2 linked regions of the Drosophila melanogaster genome follow. The protein of the gene in region 2 interacts with the protein of the main gene of each other region in a pairwise test. Each region holds a gene or a part of one and is shown on either strand. Other genes may lie near its edges. The genes, in order: Sec16 and CG14568.

Region 1 (16,177 bases), on a different chromosome or scaffold from region 2:
ATTCCGATAAAACTTGTTGCTGCTGTTGCGGCGGCTGTTGATCCACCGGTGGCAACTGCGGCTGCAGCGTATTCTCCATGTTGCTGTTGCTCTCGTATTGCATGTTTAGCTCCCTGAATTGCTTGTTCACCTCTGCAAACTGCTGATCGATGTCGTTTTGCTCCTGCTGGACTTGCTGATTCTGCTGCAGTTGTTGCAGCTGCTCTTGTTGGGGCTGCTGCAAGGAAGGATTATCGAATTAGCAGGGTAACAAACGGTGCTCTCTAAGGTTTGACCTCACCACATAGGCCAGAGATCTAAGCTGACGCAACCAGGCCTTCTCTTCAGCAGCAGCACTATCCTTGCTAGTGGCATTCGGAGGACTCGCAAATGAGACACGATTAATGAGAATGGGATCATGGTAGCGCAGGCGTTCGGCCAAACCGCAAACCTGTTAAAACACATTTAAAATTGATTATGTCGCATATGGGGTAGCTATTTTAAAGAGTCTTACCCGCTGAATGAAATTACTGTCGTAGCTTTCCGGCTTCAGTTCGATGTGCCTGGCGATTTGTTCCAAATAATTGGTGCAGCGGAAATGCTGACCATAATCTAGGATCCTTGTGGCTAGCAGGAACTTGTAGTGTTGGAAGTGGGCAATGCTAAACTTCGGATCGAACAGCGATCGAGCATACTCATAGATCTCGGTCATGATGATCGCCTCGTTGCTGGCAAATTCGTTGAAGTGCTTGTAGTGCGAGGAGCCAAGTAGAATAAGCCTGTAATCGAACGTTTGACATGTAAATGGGCCATCAAAAGCTATAAAGAGCATTACTCACCTGGGCACATTGGCGGTCAGAGTAGTTAGCTCTGTAGCAGAGCTATCGTATCGTCCGAACTCCTCCTGAGCCACCAGATAGCAAAAGTGTGCCGCATAAATGTCGCCGCGCTGGAAAAGCGTATCGCCAAGGGCCACTACCGAACTGCGATCATACTCCGGCTGGCGACTCTTGTTCGTCACCAGGATGGAGAGATGCGATCGCCAGTCACCCCACTGTTCATCCCTCAGCTGGCTGACGCACGCCGGTGTGTGGCAGCTCTTCATTTGGTATAGTGTCTGCAATGGATCGTTGGCCTTGATCGCTCGATTGAGGAACTTCTGGGCTACGTCAGTGAGAGCATAGCGATCCTCGTAGAGGGCCAAGAAGAATGCATGCGTCCACAGGCCGTTGTCGGTTGCCCACTGGAGAGCCTCCTCGACATTTCCGCGCAGCACATAGCTGCGGAACTTGTCCGTTGCCGCCTGTTCCGACAGAGGCGTTGCTGCGTTTGCAGCATCAGCTCCATTGATTGAGCTAGTTGCCGCGCCTGCTGCAAGTGGTTCCGCAGGTGTAACTCCTGCTGCCGATTCGCTATCTAAATCCGAATCGACTGTCTTGTCCGCCGGTGCAGCGGCATCCTGTTCGGCATCCGCATCTGGCTCGTTCTCTGCTTCGAACTCGCTGGGATCATAGGGATACTCTTGCTGGTTCTCCAGCAGCAGATCGCCCACATCCGTGTCCGCAATGTACTGAATAAGCATAAAACGAATGATTAGAAATCATATCCAAATCTGATCAGATTCCTACTTACCCCATTTTGGCGCAGCAAAAGTATTAGCAGGTGCCACATGAGCGCATGGGAGGCACGGTATTTCGTCACGCTGCCCTGTGGCTTCTTCTGCGTGGCATACAGTGCGGTGCAACCCTTTGTGGGCCCCAGTCGGATCTGCTCCTTGCAGAAACTGATGATCTTGTCCTTGTGCAACTTGCGTCCCTGCAAGGGACCAGGATACATGCGCAGCAGGCTGCTCGTACCGTCCCGTATGCGTGGTGGTGCCACCTCCACATCGTTGCGCAGTCGTCCACGTCCCGCGTATTTGGGCTTCACCTTCAGCAGCAGACTCATCGCATACGAGGCCACCAAATGCGGTCGGCTGAACTGCAAGGGAGTGCGTCTGCGCGGCGGACGAGCCACCGCAGTGTTGGTCACCGGTCCAGCGGTTCCAGCCACTCCTCCATAAGTCGAAGGTGCCGCATCGGCAGCAGCTCTACAGTGGATCACAAACATGTAAGAATTAGTAATGTGGACAAACATAAGGGTCTCAGCGAGGAAGTAACAAAAGAGATCATGCAAAACCGAAAAGGGGTTTCTGGTTTTTTGAGAGTATATGGTGGTATCGGGAGAGTAGAAAACGAAATTGGGAGAAAAGAACCCATCAGCGAAGAATCATCAACAGTTCCCACTTTATGCCACTTAAAAGACAGGTCTCAACAGTTCTCCACAGATCCCAAGCTGATGTTCCAATAAAATATAGATGATATAATGGTTTTTATGCAACCTATTGAACTTTTGTTCCGTGCACTTTCTGTTCTTTTGGTTTAACATTTCTTATACTATTTCTTACTGAAATGTATGTATTCTTTAGAGATTCAACACAATTAAGATAACACGGTTTTCAATTTGTTTGGAAAAATAAAATACGTTATTTAAGGTGACTTTTAGGTAATAGTAATGGCTCGAAAGCACATTCTTCAAAAAAATAATTTTCCTGAACCCAACCATCCAAAATTCCGAAAAAAAAACATCTGTTCTAAAGACAGAGACAAAGCGAAGAAACTATTTCCCAAAGCAGCAGAACAGTGGGTGCGACAGAGAGGGGGGTAGAGTGTGGATGAAAAGGACAGGTGTTTTGGGTGATCTTGTTTTTGCCTAGAAGAAAGCGCAAAGCTTCAGAGGAGAGAAAGAGATAAAGCGCGACAAAAAGCGAGATAGTGGGTTAAGTTTTTGTCAGACAGCAGGCGATTTTTTTGTTTTAATTGTATACCCTTGCAGAATATAATTTATTCATTTCAGAACTATTTAATACTTAATTAGCAAAATCAGACAAAATCTTGAGTTAAATGGATCATAACAAATTCTCAAATATGGGTTCAAGCGTTTAACGTTATGATCACATACATGATATTGTATCTTTCAGATTTTCATTTGCCGAATTAGTAAATTCATAAAGAAGACATCGATATTTAATGGATATATTCTGAATGAATTAATTTTTTATCATGACAGCAAGGGTATATATGAACATTAGCTTGCCAAAGTTAATGTCCTTTCTCGTTTTGGCTATCTAAGGATTCTGTATTTCTTTTTTGTATTGACCACCTGATATCGAGACCGCATTCGGAACCAGCGTAATACGGTCCGCATCGGGAATTGCGTCCATCGCCGTTCAAGTTACTCAACGATCGGGCACTGGATAGTGGATACGATTGGTATTGGTTATAGATGGAACCTCCTCCGTGCGATCCGTAAAAACTGGCATTATCCTCTGCAACGCTAAAGCTGGAGTTCAGGTGATCCTCCCTCTGCTGTTGTTGTTGTTGCTGCTGCTGTTGTTGTTGTTGTTGCTGGTAGATCAGCTCTTTGTATTGGTGACGATGGAATTCATTGGCTTGGGTTATGTATGCGTGTGTATACCTGTATTGTATATATGTATGTATATGTAAAGGTGGGAAGTTGGGCAGATAGCACATATGTATGTTGTTGTTTGTGTGCAATTTGTTGTTGTTGCGATTGCGATTGTTGTTTGTTTTTGTTGGTTAGAGACGAAAACAGTTTTGCGGTTATTTACGAATTTGCATTAGTTTGGTTTTTGCATTTGTTTGGATCTTATTGTGTGTGTGTGTGTTGTTTTAATTAGTAAAACACGTACACAGCGAACGGCACACGGGGAACAAAGTGGAAGTGGAGCATGGTATATGGCGGGATGGTAGAATCCAATTGGAATATGTAACATGTATTTGGGGTACAACGCAAGGGGAAAAGAGAAAGCTGCAAGAGAGCGAGCGAGAGCGAGACACCTAGGTTCTAATCACTTACTACAAACAAAATTAGCAAGTTTTAGTTCAGTTGATAAGATTAAAGCCCAAGTCCAACCTCAACATTTAAGGGACGGAGTGGTGGTGTAGATGGGCAATGGGAGGGGTTAGGGTTAATATACCCATTCAAACGCTAAACAATCAATGTTAATCATCCGTTTTTAGTTGACAAACATCAAGGTAATGTAAGAAAGCCAGAGAAAAACCAACAACTACTTCGAGTTCAAAAAGTTAGGAGCAGGTAAACGGGTTCAGACTAAGGGTTAAGTTATCAGGTGACAGGGGTTAAACAAAACTAAAGGAACGTTGGCAAAGGAACACTTTGGATCAGCCGAAATTCTAGAGCCCGAAACTTGCAGAGATTACACTGTCCTACTTAATTTCATTACACGAAATAAATTTAATTTGAATAGTCAAATAACAACATGCCATCTAATTTATATAATCTTTTTTTACACTAAGCGAAAGATATTTATTACGCTCCAGTGAACGAATAGTATAAAAATATCAAGCAAAAAATTGCCTTTTTTTTCCAATCATTTACTACAAAACTAATAATTTGCTAATCTCATATTTGATGCAACATACAATAAATAGAAATTGTGAATCCAAATATAAAAATTTCCTCAAACCCTTATCTAAAATCTCTGCAAGACTCTGGGGTATTTCTAGATGACCAAGCAAACTTCATAAATAATAAAGACATAAAAAAAAAACATGACATGTACTTGGAAACTAACCTTTCTCGCTCCCTGAGCATGGCGGCTTCACTGCTACCGCTGACACTTCCTCCGCTGGTGGCGGCCACCAACTGGGCGGCACTGACGGGCACCGCGCTGGGCATCAATCCGGGTATGACTCCTGCTCCAGCGGGAACTCCACCTTTCGAAGCAGCCGCCGAAACAGCTGCGTTCATCGAGTTGATCATTTGGCCATAGAACTTTGCATACATATCAGCGTAGACTTGTGGATTCCGCGACATTTGCTCGTACATTCCGTAGGGAACATAGCCGGTGGCTGACACGGGATACTGAGCACCAGGATTGCGCTGATCCTGATAACGTCTGCGTCCATCATCCGCACGGGCACTTCGACCCGAATTCTCGTAATTCCGTCGTCCGCCCGAGGAGCGTGACTTTTCAGCCGACGATTGTGGTTTGGTTGAGCGCCGGGATCGATTACGTTCCCGTTCGTAATCATCGAAATCCTCCTCGGCGGCACTGCGTCGATGGCGACTGGTTTTACTGCTCCGTCCACCGCTGCCATCAAGTTCTGCGTCGCCCATGTGATTATACTCCGGATTATCCGACTCGCCCTCGTAGTTGCTGTTGTTATAGCGACGCGAATGATCGTACGAACGATCCGGATCCTCGCCACCGCTGTGATACTTGTTGGATCGTCGACGCCATGTGCGGTCACGCTCCCTATCCCGCTCCCTTTCACGTTCCACTTTAGGATCCTGATGGCGACGAGAGCGTGCTGAATCGTGGTTACGTTTGTGATGTGTTTCTCTCAAGGATTTCGTCTCGTGATGGGCAGCACCACGCACAGAGTCCTCCGTTTCGCCTTCGTAGGGATAGTGACTATGGCTGCGTCCACGACTGTGCCTCTCCTCCATTAGATCCCTGCGCTCACGCTCCCGATCCCGTTCCCTTTCGCTCTGCAGGAATTCATCGGACTCATCGGACTCTAGATCCAGCGACGCGGTGGTCCGGCGTCCTACTGCTGCACGCTTCTTCTCCTGCTGAGTGGTTGAATGTTGCTGGTGTTGCTGCTGCAGCGTGGACTGCTGCTGATGTGGTTGCTGTGCATTTAGCGGGGTCATCGCCTGGGGCGGATTGTTGTGATGCAGCTGCTCCGCCTCGTCGGGTAGAATATTGTGATGTACTGAAGTTGTTGGCAGTTCAGCCAACGTTGGTGGCGGTATAGCTTCGCGATCCTCCAGATTCTCGCCATCCAGCACCACTTCCCGCTGTTCTCGCAACGACGGGGCATTGGTCTCCACGCCGGTTACGACGCGACGAGGTGGCGTCTGTATATTACGCACTTGCTGCTCGCCGTCAGAGGTGTCCTCGCCATCTGCGCGACGTTCTTGCATATGCAGAGCAGCTGCCTGGGCCACATTAAGTGGTGGCTGCTCTGTGGCTCCAGTGACCTGGCGTTGCTGCTGCGAATCCAACTCCGGTTGGCCCAAAACCAGACGAGACAGTCCTGGTGGTGGCAGCAGGCCCGCATCCTGATCCGCTTCACCTTCGCCCAGCTGCTCGGACAGGTGGCTGGTCTGCAAGTACTGGGCCCGTTCGTCATTTGGCGCGGACAAAACCTCCTGATTGTCCGGTTCCAAATGCGCAAAAGCCTGTGGAACAGCCGGTGATGCATAGAGCGATGCGTTAGGTACAGGAATGGGTGCAGGAATAGGTGCACTTAGTGGAGTTCCAAGTGAAGCCTCAACAGGTGGCGCCGCAATTAAGTTGAAACCCTCTCCATGAGCTTCTGCTGGCATACCAAAGAGCTGATCTGCTGGTGGCGGAATTGGTGCTACTGGTGCCACAGGAGCAATTGCAGCAGCAGGAGCTGGAGGCGATGGAGCTCCTGCTGCAGGATCTGCCATTATGTTCACTCGCTTATTTAGGCCCGTGGAACGCTTGAAGGGATTGGAACCAGACGATGGAACTATGCTAGGTGGCAGTGCGGCCGGTGGTGCAATAGTTGTAGCGTCCGCTGGCGGTGCTCCTACTGGTGGTGCTCCCACTGGTGGTGCTCCTACTCCAATGATGGGTGCTGGAGAAGCTCCTACTAAAGCGGAAGGTGCTGGCGAAGCTCCTACTCCTGCAAGATGTGCTGGTGGAGCTCCTATACCGGCGAGATGTGCTGGCGGAGCTACTACTCCAGTGGGAGGTGCTGGTGAAGCTCCTACTCCTGCGCTATGTGCTGAAGATGCTCCAACAGCATAGATTGGCGATCCCACAGCAGTCATTTGTGCAGAGAAGGAAGTCAGTGATGTTGGTGGTGGTGCTGCAGTTGGTGGTTGGTTTTGGAAAGCCTGGGGAGGCACAATGGCATCCAGTTCGGGTTCCTGCCCCAGTTCCGGCGGCGATTGTGGCTGCTGGTGCAGCAAAGGTATCGATTGCTGATTCAATGGCTGTTGTTGCAAGGACGTTGACTGCGGATTGGCTGGTGGCGGCAACTCTCCATTGTTATTGACATTATTGCTAGTGGCAAACGCCTGCCAACTGCCTTGCGAGGATTGAACATTGAAGGAATCCTCCAGCAGTTGTCCGGTTGGCTCTAACAAGCCATCGGTGCCGTTGCTATTATTGTTGTTGCTATTGTCGTTCCAATCGCCCCAATCACCCCAGCCATCGCTCCGGCCGCCACCACCACCTCCTCCGCTATTATTGTTGTCAAACGAGTCCAGAGCTGGTTCCGCTGGAGCCGGGACTTGTGGCTGCTGCTGAGTGGGATAATACAGTTGCTGCTGGATTGTATGTTGCTGCTGCGTAGGCTGTTGCTGCTGTGGTGGCAGTTGCTGCTGCGGTGGCAGTTGCTGCTGCTGCATAGGATGTTGCTGCTGCTGTCCCGGAAAGTAGTTATTGTAGTTCAGGGATTGTGGCTGCTGCTGCTGTTGATGCTGATCCTCTGGCCAATAATTTGGCTGATGTTGCTGGAACATTTGGCTGGCATAGACTTGCTGCTGCTGCTGCTGGGCAGGAAGAGTTTGCTGCTGTTGGGGCATTGCATGTTGCTGCTGTGGAGTAGGATGTTGCTGCGGCGCCTGTTGCTGCTGCTGCTGATGCGGTGGCAGCCAGGGCGCATTATTGTGCAACATTTTGGATCTGAACAAAGAAAAACAAAAGGATGTCAACTTTTTAACTCAAAAATGAATGCCTACTTATTTCTACAGAAATCACGTTAATATCCTGGTAAATCGTCAATTTAAATATCTTTTTAAGGTGTTTTCAGGTCCCTAGAGATATCTTTACCCGCAATTTGAACAGGCTTATTTTCCAAAAGAGATATTCAACCGAAAAAAGGGTTTAAAGGTATGGTATGGTAACGAAAAAACTTAATATTAAAGTGTTCGTTTCTTCGCCCAAGATATTTAAAAGGTTTCTAGGTGTTATAAGGAGTTTTCCGGGGAGATTGCAGGGGGTGGTTGCTGGATTTTGTGGGGCAGTTCAATGAACCAAACCAGTTTTGATGGAAAATTACCCGTTTTCTTGGATTTTCCTTAATGACACTTGGAAACCGTGAAGAGTGATGGAAAATACGCAATCGAATACTGAACAAAATAGAATTTAGGGTATATTATAGAGCTCACAATGAGCGGAAAAGCAAAAGTTAAAAGTTTACGTGGACGTTTGCCATATTTTGCCCCTTCTCCCTCCCACACTCTTCTGGTCTTCTTCTTCGTTTTGTTACCACCGTTTCATTGCTCTCTTACTTTTGTTGTTGTTCTCTTGACGCAGCAGGTTTTTTGTTTTACCTATTTTTTAAGCCGCTGATAATTTGTGCAGTTGATTTTTCGAATCTGACCTTAAATATACTTTTTTCATTTCTTTTTTTTTTATTTTTAAATGTTTTTTTTACCACTTCGCAAGTCAAAAGTGAAAACACTCTCTTGAAAAAAAAAATTGGAGCAGCGGTGAGGGAGAGAAAGAGACAGCACTCTTTTTTCTTTCTCTTGGCGAAAAAGAACCATACGCAGGGTTGCAATCCGGTGTTTTTTTGCGAATTTTGAGCACACAATCGCTTTTACTAGCCACAATAAACTAAAGAAAACACTTTTCAGGTGGCTTTGTCAATTATCTTTTATAAAAATAAAACACAGCCTAATATTACGAGAGAGAGAGAGTAAACACACATTCGCAGGCAGGTAGGTTGCACAAACACACATACAGCTCTCCTTTTTCTCTTCTAATTAGCTTACGCTGCACACTGACTTACACAAATCGCTTGTTTATTTACACGCACTCGGTACGGCACTTTTTTCGGCTGTACTTAACTAAAAATATTATACAAGTTACTGGTTTGCTGACGTTCTTGGGAGTTAAACAATTAAATATGAAATTTTTTCAATCCGAACGCAGCAATGAAATCAAATGCCAACTCGACTTTCGTGGTGTTGCCAGACTGCCAGCAGATAGAGATGACACTAAACAGTTGGATTGGTGTGACAGGACAGTGGTCACTTAAAAAATCATATATTCCTACATTTTAAATATTTTGTATTAATATAAATGTATAAATCTTTTCAATCGATAAATCAATTAAACAAATTAAATCAATTCCACATTTCTTGCTCGTATCCTATAAAACTTATAATTTTTTGCTGCATTGGAAACTAGACTTCGATACTCATTTAAAGTAATAAATGGACAAATGCAAGTTTTTAAAATAAGTCTATTTTTTCTGTTGGTTTTTATTATTGATCTTCAGACTTTTCATGTAGAATCATTATTAAAAGGGGATTCAAAATATTGAACAGGAAAATATCAGCAATGCCCCTTTAACGACTCGCCGAACAATCGATAGCTTACAGTTGCCCATCGCTAGCCATGCCTGTGCGTCTATCGCCAGGTGATGCGTTAACGCTTGCGTATTTTGTTGATATTTGCAAGCCACGCGAGAAGAGATGCTGCGCCTACTCGTGTCCAATTGCGGCAGGAGCAGCGACATATTTAGGTAGAGTAGGGGTCACCATCGCGGGCGAGGTTCTGGGCCGCCGACGCACGAGGATCTGCTACGGCCAGCAGTGAATTGGGGAAACAACGACTCCCCCTCGCCCTCACTCCGGTTATGTCATCAATCAGCCAACCTATTATTAACCGCCTATTTCGCTTTGTTTAGTCGCCACCTGCTGCAGCCCACGCAGCAGCCACTGCCACGCCTCCAGAATGCCGCCCGCCTGATGCGCCAACATTTGCGTGGAACGAACGCTCCCCAACCGCCCGCGATACCGCCCACAAATGCCAGCCGCCTGCTGCAGACGACACGCCTGCTTGTGTGGGGCGGTGGTAGTTTAGCTATCGGTCTGGGCGCCCGTTCCTGGTGGGCGGGGCATCGCGGAGCGATCGTTCATTGCGAAGGCAGCCGGCTGGCCATTCGAAAGGAGGAGGAGGAGGAGGACACTGCGTCGGAGCAGCACTTCGACTGGAAGCGTTTGTGGACCTACTTGGAGCCACATCTCTGGGAGCTGATCGGGGCCGTATGCGTGAGTTCTTGGATCACAAAAAGCCCACGAACAGGTGTAGCATTTGTCAAAATATTTAGCTAATTTCATTTGCAGGCCGCCCTGATAGTGGCTTATATCAACATACGCATCCCAAATCTTCTCGGTGACCTGGTAAACACACTGGCCAGATATGCCAACACGTACGTGATGGATCCGATTAACAACTCGTTCGTAAAGGACGTGAGCAAACCGGCCAGCAATCTGCTGAGCCTATACATGCTGCAATCTGGTTTCACCTTTATGTACATCTACCTGTTGAGCCGCGTCGGTGAGCAGATGGCAGCCAAGATGCGGCAGGATCTGTTCACGCAGATTGTCGTCCAGGACATCGCATTCTTCGATGAGAATCGAACGGGCGAGCTGGTCAATCGACTAACCGCCGATGTACAGGACTTCAAGACCTCGTTCAAGCAGTTCGTCTCCCAGGGACTGCGAAGTGCTGCCCAGCTGATTGGCGGCAGTATATCGCTCTTCATGATTTCACCGCACATGGCCGCCATTGCGCTGGCCAGCGTTCCGTGCGTGGTTATGTTCATGACGTATTTGGGCAAGAAACTGCGCTCTCTAAGCAAAAGCTCACAGGCGCAGGCGGAACGAGCGACGGGTGTCTGCGAGGAGGCGCTGTCCAACATCCGAACGGTTAGATCCAGTGCCTGTGAATACCGCGAGATGCAGCTGTTCGAGGCGGAGACCAATGAGGCGGCTCGCCTGGCGCAGAAACTCGGCTACGGCATCGCAATCTTCCAGGGCCTGACCAACTTCTTCCTCAATACACTAGTCCTATCTACGCTCTTTATGGGCGGCCACCTCATGTCTACGGAGAGTCTGTCGCCGGGTGCTCTGATGGCCTTCCTGGTCGCTTCGCAGGGTGTGCAGCGATCCCTTGCCCAGGGATCCATCCTGCTGGGCACCATGATCAGAGGCATGTCGGCCGGCAGTCGAGTCTTCGAGTTCCTATCGCTGCAGCCACAGGTGGAATTGCTGCGCGGCTACATCATCCCGCAGGAGCGGCTGCACGGCGAGATTCGATTCGAGAACGTCTCATTCGCATATCCCATGCAACCCGATCATGTGAGTTGTATTAAAGTATATCTTCATTTCATTCTCGAGACAATGATGGCATATTTACATTAATCGATGCTCTGTAATTTGTAAACTCGCCACTTTTTTATATAATATTGAATAACTTCTTATCGCTTCCGCAAGTAGATAACCATTTTATAATACCCACAAACATTTATGGCCAATATTTACGGCTAAGTGATAAAAAGATTAGAGTCTAGGCAATGCAAACAGTAATGAACTTCCTATGTCAATTTTTGCTTCATTCACAGCTGGTGCTCAAGGACTTTAGCCTGACGCTCCGCCCGGGCCAGACGGTGGCCCTGGTGGGAGCCAGTGGATCGGGCAAGTCGACGATAGCGTCGCTGGTGGAACGCTTCTACGAACCATCGGCGGGCAATATCAAACTGGACGGCTACAAGCTGTCGGACATATCGCCCTATTGGCTGCGGTCCAATGTCCTCGGTTTCATCGAACAGCAGCCGGTGCTGTTTGGCACATCGATATTGGAGAACATCCGATATGGTAAACCAGATGCGGGCGAGGAGGATGTGTATGCGGCAGCGCGTCTATCACAATCGCACGACTTTGTGACCGCCCTGCCCGATGGATATGCGACGCATGTGGGCGAACGGGGCACCCAGTTGAGCGGCGGTCAGCGGCAACGCATCGCCATTGCACGGGCGCTGCTCAAGAATCCGCGCATCCTCATCCTCGACGAGGCGACGAGTGCCTTGGACGCCACCAGCGAGGCGGAAGTGCAGAAGGCACTCGATACAGTGGTCCAGAATCGCACCACTCTGGTGATTGCCCATCGCTTGTCCACGATACGAAACGCTGACCTCATTGTCGTCCTTGATCAGGGACGCGTCGTGGAGGTGAGTTGTCCTAGACCATTGGTATCTTCAGAAATATTTATATTTTCCCTTGTTTTAGACCGGCAAACATGACGAACTGATGGGCAAGCGGGGCCTGTACTTTGAGCTGGTGCGTCAGCAGGAACGACGGGACATCCAGGAGCAAGTCCAGGCGGTGGAGGACGTTGTGGCCGTCAAGGAGCAGCAGGCAACTGCAACAGAAACTTCAACAGCCGCAACAATTGCAACTGCCGCAGAAACTTCCGCAGCAACAGTGACAGTGGGGAGCAGCAGCTTCGGTGGCAGGGCAAACGCAGCGCAAGGATAGTGACGATGTTAGGCAAATTGAATGATTCCCTATACACTTAATTTAATATTCTTATAATGTTTTCACTTTTTTTTTTGTTTTCAACTGACCAAAAACAAAAATGGTGAGAGACGCTAACAATAAGTATACAATAAAATAAACGCTGAAGACAGTATTGTTTTTGTTATAAACAGAAAGTATTTCATTGTCATTATCGCTAAATTCACCGGGTTCATTAAAAATAGATGGGATGCGTGAACTTAAATTAAAGTTTGAAAAACTGAATATAAAACACTTGAAATCCCAATTTCCGTTAAATAATATATTCAATGGGACCGCATTATTTCTACAACCATACTCATATACGGTCACTCGAAGATTAAAGAAAAACTATTTCAATATTCAATTCTGTTCAATATTTCTTGTTAGTGACAAGCAGCGTGTTTATAATAAAAAATTTGTTCATTAAAGAGTTTATATATTTTTTAAGTTGATTGGCAGCTAGACGATAGTTTTGAGATTCTTTAATGACAGTCCTACGGTCACACTGGCTGAATTGTATTTTATTTTGTGTAGTTTTGTTGTTGTTTTGTTTATTATGCATTTCTTTTTTATTGTTTGAGTTAGCGAGCTGTGCGTCGCGTCGGCATTTAAACAAAATCCGCGGCATTTCGGTAGTTGCGATTAATAATTGCTTGGCGGGAATTACAGTCGAATAAGAAATTGGCGAGGAAAAACCAACAAATGTGCAATGTGCGTCAAGTCAATAGCAATACAAACGAACAATTATGTAAGTGTGTGTGTGTGTTTGGTTTAGTTTAGTGTACAAGTCCAGCAAAAAACAATAAAATCTAAGTAAAAAACCAGTTGTTGTTGCTATTGGCTTTGCTAATGTCGTGTTGTTCCCGTTCCCCCACACACATTTTCTAACAGCGCGTGCATGTGTGTGTGTGTGTGTGTGTGTGCAGCACCTGTACGCGTGTGTGTGTGTGCTTCTGCCTCCGCACAGTGGACACATTCCTGAATTTTGGAGTCCAAAAATATGCAAATTGCCTGAGTGAATTAATTGACTTAATTAACAAAAATTGGACCGCAAGTTATGATAACCATAGTTGATTAAACGGAATTAGTTTCTAGCGGGACTAGTGCGACAAATACTCAAACTTACTTGATTTTTTACCATTCGTTCCATTCGTAAACCTAGCTTGTCTTGGCTATTTTATAGACTTCAGTCAGGGTGGCACACCCACTCATTTCCAATCTCTTCAAAGCAAAATCACAGCACTGTGATATGGTTGGTTAAAGTAAAAGTTCAATGGGTTAAGCAGGTGATTAAAGGCACATTAACCCCTAATGGAGCTTGGACTGCACTTAACGCACGGCTCACATGTGACCACTGTGCGCGCGTGCAAGTGTGTGCGTGTGCATTCGTCATTCATTGGTCATGTTTATGCGGTCGGAAGAGGGACGTGCACAACAACTACAGTTAGCTCAGCTGAAGTGCAATTGCGATTGCAGTTGATCCAAAGAGTCGCGTTTGTTGTTGCATCAACCGGAGTTTTCACGGTCAATGTTGAGCTATATCCATAAATACACAAACATTCATGTGTATTTGCATATACATATGTATGTCCATATGCATATATCCATGGATTATGCATGCAAATCGATGATGGAAATCAGGCGGTATAGCGAATTCCGATGGGGGGCAGCTGACTCAGGATCGAAGTCTTTATCACTGAACCCTAAACTAATGACTACCGGACTCAATTATTTTGTTTTGTTCGGTCATTTTGTTTAGTACGCAAAAATATTTACATGGCTATCGCTTTAGCAATAAAGTTCGAATTGCTGTCCCAGTATATCATAAAAAATCACGGAGAGTTTTGAATGCAATTGGTTTTGAAAAATGCCAAACCTTCCTATCATTAACACTTAAATCAGTTAGAAAAACTAATATAATACTATATTAGTTGATAATAAATGCATTTCATGTATGATATCATTGTAGATATCTTTTTTCTCAACGTTAATGATAATGGGTAAAGATAGCTTATTTATAGACCTACATTGCCTATATGATATTTGCTTAGTTTCCACTGGTTCATATCGACCTGTTGACGATAATTGGCCAAGTTCCGTGACTGCTGGTCTATATTTACTATATTTAATACCTATTCCGTCATCGACTAATACCTTTTTTTTAACCTCCCGCCCCCCTGCTCTTTACCCACAGTGCTAACGTGATCGGGCCAAGGCACAAAAACATTCCATGCATCATCAGCAGCGCCTGCGGGCAAATGGCGGACGAGGAGGCACTGGATTGGGCGCAGGATCAGGACCTGTGTCCGGAGGACACTCACCATTGTGCGCCCATTGTCGGGGTCAACTACTGCCACATCCAGAGGAGCCAATCGTGATGGCTCTCGGCCAGCAATGGCACTGCGATTGCTTTCGCTGCTCCGTTTGCGAGGGCCATCTGCATAACTGGTACTTCGAACGGGAGGGCTTACTGTACTGTCGTGAGGATTACTACGGCCGATTCGGCGATGCCTGTCAGCAGTGTATGGCCGTTATCACCGGACCCGTAATGGTCGCCGGCGAGCACAAATTCCATCCGGAGTGCTTCTGCTGCACGGCATGCGGCTCCTTCATCGGCGAGGGCGAATCGTACGCCCTTGTCGAGCGTTCGAAGCTCTATTGTGGCCAGTGCTATGGCAAACGTTCCTGCCAGCCGGCGGATGCGAAGGCGCGGATCACAACGGCCGGCAAGCCGATGCACTCCATCCGTCTGGTCGAGATACCCAAGGACGCCACGCCCGGCCTGAGGGTCGACGGAGTGGCCCTCGACGATGGTTGTCCCACGGTCCGCATTACAGAGTAAGAAATTAACTGAAATTACTATAATTTACATCAATGAACTCATTGAGATGCATGCATTTGCATTATTTATTAACTTTATTGTTACATTTGTTTCTTGTTGTTTTTTTTAAGATCTTTTTCAAAGATCAGATTGTACTCTTTTTTGAACTTCTAAGTTGCCTTTGCGTTTAATGTACATATGTTATACAAACCAAGCCGTCTTCTCACTTTTTACACACAAGTCACAACATTTTTTTTATATGAATTTAAAGAAGAATGTCTTTTTGGTTACATTTTGTACTGAAAAAAATTTTACCATGGCTCAAATCTACGAAGTACGTATTGTGAAATGATAACTATTATTTGATTGTATATAATTTATTGCTTCAATCTGACTCACTTTTGGTTGCCATTTGTTAAAGTTTGCACATTAGCTAACTAGGTCTAGTCCTAATTGCCAACTAATTTCGCTGGGCGTTCGTCCTTCGACTCTTTCTGCATTTCCCTAATACATGCTTGCCCAAAAAAAAAAAATAGCTTGTTCTGTAACTTCTTCTTGTGGCTAACCTCGATGGCGGAACAGTGCTGTGGGGCGCCTTATAGGTAACAAATGTGCCTGAGTTGAATTAAAAGCAACAACTAAGCTAGTAGTAACACTTTGCTAATTATTGATTTATTTCCTATTATCCAGAATTGATGTGAATCTTACAAATCTGCATATTGGAGATAGGATATTGGAGGTGAACGGCACACCAGTTAGTGATTCGTCCGTGGAACAGATCGACAAATTGATACGGAGTAATGAGAAGATGCTTCAGCTGACCGTGGAGCATGATCCGGTGCAAGTGTGCCGCTCCTGCAGCCAAGCGGACATCCAGCGGGCCATGTCAGCGTCCACGTTAATCCTGCCGCTCAGCACATCGGCCTCCAGTGTCGAGGTGGGCAGGGAGCGTCTGTA
Region 2 (14,489 bases):
CCGTTGAAGTCTTTCGTATTCGGGGCACAAAACTCGACGACTGTGTAGTTTTCGGGGTCTTGCAACCGATTGTTAGTAATTAATGAACCAGCACCACAGCACTCATATACGTAAAGCAATCCATTATACACATATGCTACACATTTGGCCCAGGGGCTCCACATTCAACACCAACACCAAAGCCCCACCGGGCGTGGACTTACCTTCGCAAAAAGCAGGAGTCGCTAGGCTAAGGGCCTTCGATCCACAGGAAACTTAGCATCACCCCGAATGGGACACACCTGGACTTCCTATGCATTCCGCGTCCGACTATGAGTTCGCTTCTTATTTGTTTTTAATTTCGACACCACGAGCTGTGTGTACATACTTTTTGCAATCCGCTAGGTGGCAGTCCGACTGGCTCCTCAAGGTGTATCCATCGTGCTGCCTGCGGCTTAACCTTTGTGGGACTTTGCGGGTTTGCCGATTCTAAGCCAATACTGCGTTTTGTCCAGCAAAATAAATAACAGTTTTCGGTGGTTTTTCGATGTTGTTCTTAATGTTAGTGATGTGTATTCACCGATAGACGGTCACACTGGGACTCTCTGTCTGCGCGGCCACAGATGGGAGCGTGATGCACAGTCACTAGTTAGAGAAAATCCAATAACGTGTAGGTTGCGGCGCAATAAGTTATAAATAAGTTAAAAATCACATTGCGCAGTATCACTGCAATATTTATTGAAATTTCAGTAAGAACAAAGTGAGGCACACTTTGTTGAACGTGACTTCTTTTACACACTGAAATCACAGCCTGCTGAACGTGACCACTTTGCTCACTGAAATCGCAGACGTGTGGCAACACTCAAGCCGCCAGAAAGATCTGGCATCTCTCATACTTAACACGCGCATGCAAAATATTTAAGAAATAAATATTAGTCGCTAACAGTTTAAATATAATAAAATTCTGCTGATATAAACCCAGTTCATAAAAGAACACGCATTTACCTCCGCATATAAGATCAAATACGTATAAAATCTAATTAGCCGACTCAAGGTAAGGCGTGCGTTTTTGGAGCTCCACTAAACTGACTTCAAAGCAATAACTCATCAAATACTACATTTCAGTTAAAATGGCTGGAGTACTCTTTGAGGACATCTTCAACGTAAAGGACATGGATCCGGAGGGCAAAAAGTTCGACCGTGTATCCCGCCTGCACTGCGAGTCCGAGTCGTTTAAGATGGACCTCATCCTGGACATCAACTCGTGGCTATACCCCATGGAGCTGGGCGACAAGTTCCGCCTGGTTTTGGCCACCACCCTGCGCGAGGATGGTTGCCCGGACAGCGGGGAGTACAATCCAATGGAGCACGAGGGAACGCGGGCGGACAGCTTTGAGTACGTGATGTACGGCAAGATCTACAGGATCGAGGGCGACGAAGCACACAATGAGGCCTCCCGGCTCTCCGCCTACGTGTCATTCGGCGGCTTGCTGATGCGACTTCAGGGTGACGCCAACAATCTTCATGGCTTCGAGGTGGACCAGCACATGTACCTGCTGATGAAGCGGCTGGCCTTCTGAATTTTCTACCTAATTATTTTCGATCGCAAATTAGACATAGACAACAAACTTTATTTACAGTGTATTCATGACATTGCTTGGAGTGCTGAAAGAAGTAGTCTATTGCCTGGATGGGCGTCTGAAAGGCGCATTGACTATCAGGCGAGATGGCCGTGGGCGAAAAGGAATGTGGCGATCCACGAAGGGCAAAGCCTGCGGAGTCGATGGGAACACTGGAGTAGGCCTAATAGCATTCACAATCTTGACCGCATCTGGCCGACGACGAACCGTAAGCTTAGCCGGCCGTCGCTGCGGAGTCCGCAGAACCGGACGCTGCGGGCGGAAGGCAGAAAGTCGGTTCAGAAGCGGCAGAACATACTGAGCCTGGGGTGGTAGCGGCAGACTTGCCAAATTAATTATAGCTGCGCTTTGTGGCAATGTGTTGGAGCTGTCATCATTGGCTGGCTGGTCTGGAGGTCCGTAGGTCTGATCGGGAGGTCCATAAATTTGGTCCGGTGGGCCGTAGACCTCAGCTGGCGCTTCCACCAAAGACGGTGGTCCGTATGTTTCAGGTGGAGGGCCATATGTATCCTCCGGTTGAGGAAATTCAACCGCCTCCTCCGTTGGCAGGTCGAATGGCGGATCGGGGACCAGGCCTGCTGGTGGATATGGGGCTTGTTCCTGTCTTTGCAGAAACCTTCCCGCCGCGGGTCCTGGGAACCTCAGATGACTGCCTTCAATTCCATTCAGGCAAAGAATGGAACAAAGCGCAAAGGTGACCAGAGAAGCACTTGGATAACCGGACATTGTGGTGTGCTGACATGAACTGCTGCATGGGCGGCTAAGTGGCGCCTATAAATACCCCCTAGGAATGCCCTTGGGAACTGCCCAATTCAAACGCCCGAAGAAACCTCGAGGCCGATGACTTATAAGCCAGGTCCAACGATACGTGCCCATGGAGGTGGTGACTAAGGCGCGTGTAAGTACTGGCTGTTATGAAAATGTGTGGTTAGATTTCTTTAAAAGGGAGTGCTTATACAAAATAATTGTATATTATTTTTACACAGGAATAAAAAAAATAATAAATATAACGCTTTCCTATTAGTTTCAGTATGGATTTCATTTTAAATTGAATTTTGTAAGTAATATTTTGTAAATATATTTTCTGTGTACGGTGAGTGCATGATATCGTTAGAATAGATTCCAGCCCTGTATCAAAGACACTAGAATAATTATTCTAGAGTCTTTGCCTGTATGATATTTCCTTAAGTCTGACGCAGTGACGTATTTGCTTACGCTAAAGTTTTAAAGTCTACCAACTGCGACGCAGGATTAGACGCTGAGGAACGGGCCTCTGGGAACGCCGTCCTTGCGGAAATCGCTGGTAGAGTCGGGCGGACTGGACGGACTGTGGCTGGTCAAGACTGCTAGCTACAACGATCACAGTGCCATCCTCAGCAACATCCAGCTGCGGTTCATCCTCCTCGGCGTCCTCATCAGCGGGCTGCAGCTTGGCACCGTCAACCGATGCTTCCTCAGTCTCTGGAATATCATCAGTCTCGATGGGATTCTCTGGTAGCGGCTCAGCCTCGGGAGCAATAGCCGGCACGGAGTCGGTCTCTGGAGGTCCATAAGTGTTATCTGGTGGCCCGTATGTGTTGTCCGGAGGTCCATAGGTGTTATCAGGCGGCAGATAAGTGTTCTCCGGCTTGACAGTCGAACTGGGTAAATCGAAGGGAACACTCGGGGTGATGCCCGCCTCCGGATATCCGGTGGGCGAAGGACTGGGTATAGCCTCCACTTGGCGCGCCAAGAACCTCCGGCGGATCGGCTCCGCGGAGCTCAGCGCCAACAGGCTCAGGACAAGAATAGCAATTGGTGCGCCAGTCGGTTTAAACATTTTCGCGGTTGAAGGGCTTCTGTTCTGATTTCTCGATCCGACACGACGTATTTATAGCCCCAAGCTACCAGATCGAATTCTGCTATAATTTATGCTCGTCACTTTCAGTTTCAGGCTCTTATTCCCGGTAAAACTTTGATTATGTTGCGCTGATCGGCGGCAATGTAGCTTCAGCTTAATACCCGATACGTGACCCTTTTTCGAAATTGATTTTCCAATGCTATGATTTGGAATAGGCCACCCTTTCCCTCCTTCGCAAATCATTCATTAACACTTGGAGTGAGCTGTGAACACTCGAGTTTGTTTGGTTTTGGGTTCTTGGCAGTTCATAATTTTATTTGATGAACTTTGTATTCATGCAAAACAGAATAGGCTGTGAAAAAATCCATCAAGCACGCACTTTTAAAAGCACGTCCCACCCATTTGCAACATTTGGACAGTTTCAATCAGGGTCGATCGAATTCAAAAACAATGTTATTTACTATTAGCTTGGCTTTTGGAACACTCATTTGCCTTACCAAAAATTATTATATTCTGAGCTTTGAGTTTTTATCATGGTAAGTGAAAATCGGGTTAAAAAATATAGTATTCATACTCCTTACTCGTAGAGTAAGATGTGTTGAAAATTATGTAACAGGAAACTTTTCCGACCATATAAAGTATATACATATATGATCAGGATCAATAGCCGAGTCGATCTGGCCATGCCCGTCTGTCCGTATGAACGTCTCGATCTCGGGAACTATAAAAGCTAGAGGGTTGAGATTAAGCTTACAGCTTACAGCTCACAGCTTCTAGAGAAACGCCCACTCTAACGCCCACGAACCACACAAAACTGCAACGCCCACACGTTTGCAAATTGTTTTGACATTTTGCATATTTTTATTAGTCTTGTAAATTTCTGTTGATTGACAAAAAAGTTTATGCAACGCATTTTATTCACCAATATCTATCGATATTCCAGGAAAAGTATGCAAGTTCGCGTTCGCATTTCCACTAGCTGAGTAGTTGGTATCTGATAAGCAGGGAAGCCGAATATAGGATTTCTTGTTTGATACTGCTTGGACAAGATTTTTAATAGATAATAGAGCACAGGGTAACTTGTAGTTGAGACTCCCGAATCACTTTTGTGATTTGATCCTGATTAAGAAAATAAGATCTTAATAGAAAAGCAAATGCGTTCATATATCTGTTAGCTCCAACAACAAATTAAATATGTTTTGCTTCACTAACAACAAGACAGACATATTTTGCAATTTTCAATTTATGACAAAAGGGTGGCTTGAATATTAACGCAATTATTTTATTATTTAAATTAAAATATTCAACAACAATTTATTTAGCGACAAAGTAATAAATGCATATCCTAATGAGTCGATTCCATTTGATTTCTAGCAAATTAGGGTTGACCCATTTCAGATGGTGTACACCAGAACTGATCCAGAGCGGATAATCTGAGCGGATCGAAGCTTCTCTGGGGTCGGACGACGACTGAGGAGGCGTTCGTTACGAGGCTGGATCAAGCCGGCGGGCACGGGATCGGCAGCAGGGGCCTGGTCCACTGGGCCATCAGCCGGCGGTCCATAGGTGTTTTCCGGCTCAGCAGGTGGTCCGTAAGTGTTATCGGGAGGGCCGTAGGTGTTGTCGGGCTCATCTGGGGGTCCGTAGGTAAGATCAGGTTGCGCTTCAGTCTCCGTGGGCAGGTCGAAGGGCACCTCCGGTGTCACTCCTGCTGGCGGATAAGGGGCTGAGGCCGGCGTAGGTGCAATATCCACGGCGGGGTCGGCCGGAACTGCCTGATCCCCTGGAGCCTGCTCCTGACGGGCAAACTGCAGGCGGGAAAATCGTCCCCGGAATCTGGTAGGCTCTGCAACAGAAACGGCAGCCATGGCTGCGATCAGGAGCAGGGAGCAGATGAACTTGTGGGCCATGTTGAGCTGCTGCTGAGTTGTCTTAGAATGTTGTCAGTGGCTGCCAGTTTCGCGCCTTTTATACCAACTGAAGTTTTCGGCCACTCGGGTATATTTGGCTCACCGAGGGACACCCTTTCGTTGGCCTACGGACGTGACAATATTTAGTCAAGGGCCCATGTCTAAGCCATAACCATTGGCCGTTAATTATAACCCGCGGGCACTTAACTTTGACACTTTACGTGGAACCACTGCGGATGAGGAATGGGTTGCAACCAAAGAAGTCGAACTAGTAACGAATGTCATTCGTTGACTTGTATGTTTTCTAACGTAATTCTATAATTTTATAAATATGTCATTACTTTAACTGAGCTAATGAATTTCTTTCTAACCTACTTCCCTTTTTATATACTAAGCATGTGGCCAATGGTCCACATGGGCATGGGCAACTAGGGCTATAGATCTGCTAGCACTTTAAATTCCACTCCACTGTGCGGCGCCTGCTTGACATACAATGCATACGCATTGATGGATTTCAAATCGCGGCGCTCTGCTTAAAATTCACGGCGTTGTTGGCTGGGCTAGAATCGCTGACCAGTGACCACCGATGAGCAGGGCCACCGCTGCGGCACTTGGAAGTATAAAAGTTAAAGCTCCATATACGACAGCAAACACAGCTCAACTGCTAGTCCCACGATCATGGCACGTTACCAGTTTTTCAGTTCGCTCCTCCTCCTGCTGGCGGCCATCAGCGCGGTGAATTGTGCGGCACAGGCACCACTTCGGCGGACTCTGCGCCTGCGTCCGGTGGCGTTCGCCCGGCAGGAGCTGGCTCCCACCCCCTACCCCTCGGCTGCTGAGCTTAAACCCGCCGCCGAACAGCCCGCGCTGACCTACGGACCTCCCGAGGATGTGGATACAGATGCCTTGCCTTCGGAACAGGATCCACCAGTGGACACCTTCGAGCCTAGCCCAGAGAACGAGGAGGTGGACACCGAGGAGAGCTCACTTGAGGCCACCACACCATCCTCTGCTCCGGCCCGCCTGCGCAGCCGCCATAGATTGGGCAAGTTGCAGCTGGCTAAGCCAAAGCTGCTCCGCCAACGCACAGCTCGCCTGGAGGAGCTGCCCGTGGATGCGGCTGTGGCTCCAGTGGCTTCGCTGGTTCCAGTAGCTCAGGCTCCAGCACTGGCCACGCCCCAGTTTTACTATGTGGGTGCCCAGCAGCCGTATTACCTGGCAGCCTACAGCGCTGCTCCCCAGCAACTAGGCTGGTAGTAACGCTAGTTGCCTTCTCTTAATTTGTTCTGTTTGGATTGCAATTTGTTGTTAAAAATATATTTCTGCTAATATGTTTAAAAATGGTTCGTCTGCTTGTTTTCCTTACATTTTAAGTAAACTCAGTCCAAAAAGTCTAAATAGAAACCAGTGATATGATAAGCGAAACTAATTAATAAATTAAATATCCCGACTCCAATATCAAACAAATAAGTTATCATTTACGTAAATAATTTAGTATTTCGTATTTAATCAAAACGTATTATGTGAAAGTAAGTGGAGAAGGGAGGATAATCAGCAGTGTGCTCATCTATACGTGTCAGTCCATCTGACTGTGTTATTTTGAATTATTAATAATTTATATTATTATTCAACATCTACCGATTGTCGAGAAATAATAATTGCATGAGAAATAATTGCTTTTAATGGTTAATATTAAATTGTCGAAATGGATGCAAATTTGTTTACACACAGCTCAAAGATTTCAGTTCTCTAAAATTCAGTGCAAGCCATTTGCCTTTAAGAAAAACTTATATCAGACCTATTCTGGACGAACTCCTGTTCGGAATTCTTTGCATATCCTTGACATGTGAATTGCCTCGGAAGCGTTTAAAGGGTTCCTTGTTCCCATCGCATACTTTTAGCGGATTTGTATGGTCTTTTGTGAAAGGCTTCCCATTTCCAATGCATTTTTAATGCTTTGTTTTATTCTAGTTATAGTGGCTGGGTCACCAGTGTAATGGCTTGCTAAGATATTTTTTAGTCTGCGCAATATGATTGGTGAATGGTGGCCTTTCAACTTGATGACGGAGCAGTGTAAAGGATCATACTTACGGACATTTGGTTTTAATATTTAAGTTATTCTAAATATTAAAAATATTTCGGTACGCGGACGGACCGACACGGTAAGATAACCTCAGCTAGTGATTCTGGTCAAGAAACCTTATACTTTATAGCTTGTTCCTATCGGTTACCTACTTTTCAATGAGTCTAACACACCCCTTTACTCTAAGAGTGCCGGGTATGCACATTTAAATGACATGCATAAACACACCTTTGAACACATAAATAACACATACTTACCATTTTTAATAGAGCATTTTGTAAGGTTTAAAGCTTATATAAATACCCTCATCTGTTATCCAGGATTAGTTTGTACAGAGACGATGTGCAACATTATTTAGGAAAATGCTAATATCCTGTGCAAATATGTTCAAATTTTTGATGATCATTATTGTGGCTCTCCTTGAACTAACCAAGGCACTGGATTCACCTGGTGTTGCCACACAGAGGCCACCTGTTGGGGATAAAGTTGTATATCCGGAGGAAGACAAGCAATATATAGATATTCGTTGAGAAATTATTTGTTTAATTTGCTAACATCCAAATGTTGCGCCTAATAATTAATTATATGAAATCTATGTTAAGATCAGACCAAATTAAAATGTTTGTAAATAAACTTTAAATAAAATTAATAAAAGAAGTAAAGGACATCCTCATTCTCTCAATAATGATTTTCAAACTGAAAATTATGAAAAAAAAATCGCCAACCGTTCAACTAATTCCTTCGTGTCTTAGTTCTTCGATTGCTTAATAGTTTAGAAACCAAAAGGGCTGCTGGTCCAAGGGCGGCTGTTTCAAGTTGGACATGGCTGACAAACTCCTCTGACTTGGAGGGCAGAAGCCACAAAAAGGACGACCTTTGGGGTGATCCATAAAAAGCTTGATAATATCCTGTTGCGAAGTAAAGGCTCTTCAAATCTTGTACATTTTAAAATGTTTGGGCTCCTTTAATCACCTCCCCAATTGTATTACACTTATTCAGCCAATAACCTGCACCATTTTTTAGGCTACTCATTCCTTTAACACATACCAATATTACATGGTTTTTTCTTAACCTAACCAAGTACTGCAAGTAACACTTATCCCACAGTCGCAGCATCCTCCTTATTTGAACACAAGTTTGTTTCTTTCTATTTTAATGAACATCAAATTTATAGTAAACATTTAAAAGTAATGAAGTGTCTCTATGCGCACAAAGTTGTGAATTTGCATCCAAATAGGGAATTAATTTACATTCTATTGTGGACGTAGTGGTTGTGGGGGTGACCATGGGCGAATCCCAGAAATAACACATTTCTGAAATTTGATTTTGCAATTCTTTTATCACACAGGTTTATATTTTATAACCTTACTTTGTAAACGAAAATCATTTCGATGTATATAAGTACAATATGAAAAAACGCTATAGTCAAGTTGCCCGAATGTCAGATACCCATTACTCAGCTTGTCGACGAGCGAACGAGAAATTTCAACATTTTTCTGGCATCAATATTGGAAAATATTAAAAAAAAAAATAATACAATTTCAACATTTTTCACAAGTGTGGGTATAACAGTTTGAAGCGTTTTGTGGGGGAATAGACACGCCCCTTTGTCTATTATGATGTGGTATACCGATATAAAATACAATAAAATAGAAAAATCAAAACCCTTTTTAAAAGCGTTTAACTTTCATACGAACGAACAGACTGACGTGGCCAGATCGACTTGGTTAGTGATTCTGTTCAAGAATATATATACATCATATGGTCGGAAATACTTCGTTTTACCTGATACATACTCTCTTCGAGTCTAGTACACCCGTAGAGTAACTAAGAGCTTTCTAGCTTAAATTGTTTCTGAGATCACATCACTGCGGCTGCTGTATATACACGAAGAAATTAAAATCTGATTTGATTGTTCGATCTGAACGAGGGAAAAAATATATGGATTGAGAGTACTTGACTTTTTTAAAAAGTCGAACGACTATGTTTCTGTTTGGTAATATGTAATGTTTAGCTTGTAGATTATTTCTTTTAAGGTGATCAAAGCCTACTGTTGTTAACTAATTTTCAAGCCATCAATCTTATCAACTTTGAGTTGTTTCCCTTATCGTCACCTATAAACACAAATCTTGCTTTTCATTATATAAAATAAATAGGTAATTCTATATTTAAATTCGCACATATTTGAGTAAGTAAAAATCTCATTGTTGTTATTAATTTCAATAGTTAACCGCGGAAGAAAGATGCCCGCGTCTCCAGGCCACCCACATTCGGTCTCGAGCTATTCCGATGGGCCTCAATGGCCTGGTAATTAATGAACCAGAAGGGCTGCTGCTCCACGGGCAGCTGACTCAAGTGGTTGACCCACTCGCGGTCACCATGGGCATCGATGGGCAGCTGGTTGAAAACGGGGGCCACTGATGTTGCGGGTCTTCCGGCTGTGGAACTGGTGGGCTGCGTTGTGAACTGTGGACTGTCCTCTGCTCCAAATCGGTTGGCCACTGTGGGAGCCGCCTCCGCAGCAGACCCACTTATTGGCAGTACTAGGGGAACTCCAATCGGCGGCTTCTGGGAGGCTCCAAACGGTAGATTGACTAGAGCTGGCCTCTGCGAACTGGATGGCTCTCCAAATCTCGTAGCTATGTCCACTCCGGTGATATTCTCGACGGCTGTGTTTTGAGTTGCGTGGTACTTGTCCTTCTGACTTAGTCCACCTGGTGGCCTCAATCCCGCAAAGGAGGGCCGTTGGGCTCGAATATTTTCCAACAAAGTCATGGCAATGATGGCCACGGCAAACATTCGTCTCAACATTGTTGCAATGAAAATTTCACTTTCTGCACGCGTTTCTCCGGCAGCTTTACTCGAAGTAATCCGGTCTGATCTTCTACGACAACTGAGTACAGGCGGCTGGGAAGATCATTTAAATAAGCTTTGGCTCTCTGCTCCACAGCAGCTTTTCTTCAAATCAAACGAGTTGCACAGAAAGAAAAATTTATTATTATAAATTGCGTTTTTAAAGTATCCAAGCTAAATATGAATTTCACTTCGTATATCAAGGGAAGGCAAATAAAAAGTGAAGGCATTTTTAATAGTGGTTAAAAAGACGTATATATGTGAAACTGCATAGTTTCTTTTCGGTGTATACTATAGTAATGACTTTTAATGCGACTAATTAAATGTTCAATCTTGTAGTAGTTGTATTGTGAAGATATAGGTATAGGTGCTTTATTGTCGAAGGGAATAATTCCTTAACTTCCTTACTTTGTGATGTGTAATGTGCTTATCTTAATGGCGAAAAATACTCTTGCTTCGACCCTTGACAATTCGCGAACATTTCAAATTTGAAAATGCAATTAAATGAATCATTGAATTTGGTGATTATGTGTGCTGGAATATAGTTATTCTTCCGGATAATTCCTAGAGAACTTTTCCTCATAACTTTTGTTTTGAACTTTTTGTCATATTTATGATTCCATAAGTGCAGTTAATGTTCTTAATGTTGTAATTATTCTTTTTACCGTGCTGGAAACCATTTTAACGTGCAGTTTTTATTTGAATTTCTTGTTATCATGTTTCTATAAGAAAAAATAATTTGTTTTTCATTATCTCTCTTTTGAAACCTCTGAATTTTTTCCCACACTGATTACCCAGACTGCCCTGGATCGAGTTCAAGATTAGAGTATTTATTTTTCACTCGGAGCTCAGACTGCCGTATTTCTTGTTTTTTTTTTTTGCGGTCGGGGCAATCCCAAATTCGTCACCAGTTTGCGAAGCGTGCGTTCCCAAACCGGTTCCAGGTCTTCCCCTTTACCCACTCTCTCGGTGACCAATAGCTTCTTGATCAAGTTGGCTGAAAATTGGCTTTTGGACGCGTCTAGGAAAGTTTCTTTCCCGTCTGTACCGAAGTGATTCACTGGTATGACTGCCAAAAGAAGTTCGTTTTATCTCGAAACCAGATTTATTTGCATTATATTATAATCGGATGTGTGATTTTTTTATGTGTAGAGTGTGGGATCAGGTGAAAAAGAATTTCTGTGTGTGTTTTTGTCGTCATCGTGGCTGGTTGGATCGTCATGGGTTTTTGTTTTGAGTTGGCTGCTGGAATTGCAAGCAAAATAGAAAGAAATATTTAAAGGATCTTCTATATGGTTAATCATTTCATTGTTTATTGTTTTTTTGGTGTTCAAAAGTTATTCTTGATGAGTTCTCAAAGCCTTACCTGATTTTCACTTAGAAGCGTCGCACGGTGGAGCGGGCAGCACTCAATTTGGCCGGACGAGCTGCGGCGGAAAGTGGACGGCGATAGGCCACGGGCTTAGCTACTCTCCGGTAGTTGGCGGCCCTCCTGGCAGCTACCAAACGGGCCTGCTGCTCCGCCGGAATGTCGGCGGCAGCGGGCAGATCGTTTCCGGTCACGTCCGGTGGGCCGTAGACCTCGTCGGGAACGCTGTTAGGAGCAGCATCGGGCGGTCCATAGACGGCATCCGGTGTGGGCCCGGCGGCCGAGGGAGCAGCAGCCTCGTCGAAGGGCACTTCCGGCTTCAGCTCATCTGCCGAGGGATAGGGTGTGACGGCATCCGGATCAGCTGCGTCAGCGGGAGCCAGCTCCTGCCGAGCGGAGTACCTCGAACGTCCGCGGCTTAGGCGCTGCGAATAGCGCTGTTGCTGGGCTTGGGAAACGGCCAACAGGCTGAGGGCTGCAGCAATAAGGATAACCTGGAGCTTTGCCATGGTGGAGATTGATGGATTCAAGTGTATCTGTGGGAAGGCTGAACCAACGACTGATGACTGGAAGAGCCTCCATGGGCGCTTTTATAGGTAGGACTTGGATGGGCACCTGTTTAGTGTGCGGCGCGTGGACCCAGCGTGGGCATCCTTTTTTGGACCTACGGTCTGACGTCGGCACTCCACTATGGTCTTGGTTACCCACGATCGGCGGTGTCTGCGGCGTCTTTATGCGCCCACGACGTGACCAGAAATAGGAAGCAGATGTAGATGTCCGAGGTTTCGCCAGAAATCAGTCCAAAATCTGAGAGTGTCTCCACCTCGATTAAACCAATCGGTCAACATTAAAACGCTCTTAATGTGATGGACGGTGAAATTAATGGCTAGTCGTAAATTTTGGAGCGAAGTTAAAGGATATTGGTTAAATGGAAGCGGACAAAAATCTATTTTAGTCCAATGCCCGAAGCCTTGAAATATTTAAAACTTATGTTGTACTGAATTTAATTATGGCACCTAAAAGCCATTTATTATATAAATAATATATTTTATAGTTAGAATCACCCTCATACTCAACTTAGATAACTTATTGGTTTAAAAAAATCAAACGATTTAAGACTTGCTGACAATATTGACAAATTTGTATAAAGTAAAACAAATTTGTAGTTGAAGTAATTTCTTAAATGCAATTTAAAACTAATTTGTATATATTTTTGCTTGCACCTATTATTTACATTTAACCATCCTCACTTTATTTCATGTAATGATAGTTCAGGACGTGACATAAAACAATCGTTTGGGGAACGGGCTTGGTGACCTTGGCGGTCACCTCAACGCCAAATCGTTGATCGCATAAATATTGATTATAAGTGTTTAATCAAAAATTCTAACGCTCAAGCTGACAATTTCAGCATAATGCAATTGACAACAGTTCACTCCGTTTTCGCTTTCAACTGGCTGGGGATTGGATTGCGTGTCACGTACGAAACGCATTTAATTTTCAAAGAACATGGCGAATCGGACGTGGACATCGGACACCAGTTGGCATTTGGAGACCGGTGATAATGTGGACGATGTGGGCGATATGGGCGCTATGGTGGAGATATGAGCTGGCAGCGGACGTGGTTTTGTCGGCGGAGACCAGAAACAAACAAAAGGCTATGCAAATAAATCATTAAGTGTGCGCCTAATCGATGTCGTGTCGATATAGAAGCTTCATGTCATTATTCCCCTGGATCGAGAACTCTGTATAAAAGTATCGCTCACAATCGTACGTAGATCAGTTGGGTCTAAATTCGGGCCGAGATCGAAAGTCCAACATGCAGTCCATTCTACCCGTTATCCTTTGCCTTTGGGCCCTTAGTCCCGTCCAGATCGAAGCGCGTCAGGTCAGGATCAACCGGTATGCGGTCACTGTGCAGGAGGATCAGCCGGCCGAGGATGCTCCCTATCCGGCGGCGGGCTATAGACCACAAGGTCGCTCCTTCTGGCTGCCAAGCGAAGTGGAAGTAGAGGTCATTGAAGGGCCTGGTGCTGTTGAAGCTGAGGTTCAGGAAGGCTCAGGTTTGGGAACGAATCAGCTGACCACCACAACCGAGCTGCCTCTGGAGGATTTGTCGACCAGCACTACAGATCCAACCGACGACTGGAGCACGACCACCAACTGGGGCTCCGTGGACACGTCCACAGCTCTCCCAGCTACCCTCGCTGTGGAATCCCGTACGGGTCGGGCTTTTGTAAAAGCTCCTTATCCACCAGCCGGCTACAGACCAAGTCGCGCCTTCCGCCTGCCCACCGAGCAGAGCAGGGAGGAGGAGCAGAAAACCTCCTCCAGCAACTCCACCGACAGCAATGCCGATCACCCGGTCTGCGGGGTCAGCACTGACCCCCTGAAACCCACTCCGGAACCTGGATCCAAGGATGAGCCGGATTCGGAGAGTGTGGTCTTTACTGCAAATGTGGGACCTGCTGTAGTGGTGGCTAGAGTTCCCTCCTCCATTCCGGTGGCTATTCCCCTGCGATCGCAGCCTCTGATCCAGGCTCCCAGGTCCCGGGGATTTGTCTACACCACGCATGTGGAGCAGCGGTGGTGATGGGACGGAAGGTACTCATTATCATTGTTAACAGTTCAGTATTTAAAGTTACTTTTGTTTATGAAGAAATAAATGCTTTCTTTTGTTATTTACCTTTAAGCCTCTTGGTATTTACTCATGCAGTAATTGGCTGAAAATCAATTTTATTTGTAAACAACTATTTGCTCGTTCAAGCACCACGAGCTGTTTTGCTTAACTTGACAGCAAAGATTCTGGAAGTTT

The links.
Region 1: the proteins of CG14568 (region 2) and Sec16 interact in a two-hybrid assay, tested with the Drosophila melanogaster proteins (one large-scale study listed by BioGRID).

Annotation. Positions count from the first base shown.
Region 1 is NC_004354.4:12,588,901-12,605,077, reverse strand, and holds the start of Sec16 (secretory 16), read right to left. Parts: upstream 9,032-16,177; 5' UTR 8,844-9,031; intron 8,403-8,843; exon of another isoform or gene 8,341-8,402; intron 8,178-8,340; exon of another isoform or gene 8,109-8,177; intron 7,733-8,108; 5' UTR 7,726-7,732; coding exon 4,637-7,725; intron 3,496-4,636; coding exon 3,181-3,495; intron 2,069-3,180; coding exon 1,612-2,068; intron 1,550-1,611; coding exon 819-1,549; intron 759-818; coding exon 494-758; intron 431-493; coding exon 281-430; intron 218-280; coding exon 1-217. Other genes in the region: CG1824 (uncharacterized protein), read left to right, coding at 9,532-9,581, 9,747-10,110, 10,186-11,202, 11,466-12,071, 12,130-12,378; LIMK1 (LIM domain kinase 1), read left to right, coding at 14,630-15,237, 15,757-15,822, 15,911-16,177.
Region 2 is NT_037436.4:21,728,084-21,742,572, forward strand, and holds CG14568 (uncharacterized protein), read right to left. Parts: upstream 5,405-14,489; 5' UTR 5,370-5,404; coding exon 4,854-5,369; 3' UTR 4,723-4,853; downstream 1-4,722. Other genes in the region: Polr2H (RNA polymerase II, I and III subunit H), read left to right, coding at 1,110-1,559; CG14570 (uncharacterized protein), read right to left, coding at 1,659-2,345; CG14569 (uncharacterized protein), read right to left, coding at 2,851-3,438; CG14573 (uncharacterized protein), read left to right, coding at 6,048-6,626; CG14567 (uncharacterized protein), read right to left, coding at 9,679-10,251; CG14566 (uncharacterized protein), read right to left, coding at 11,683-12,183; CG14572 (uncharacterized protein), read left to right, coding at 13,494-14,267.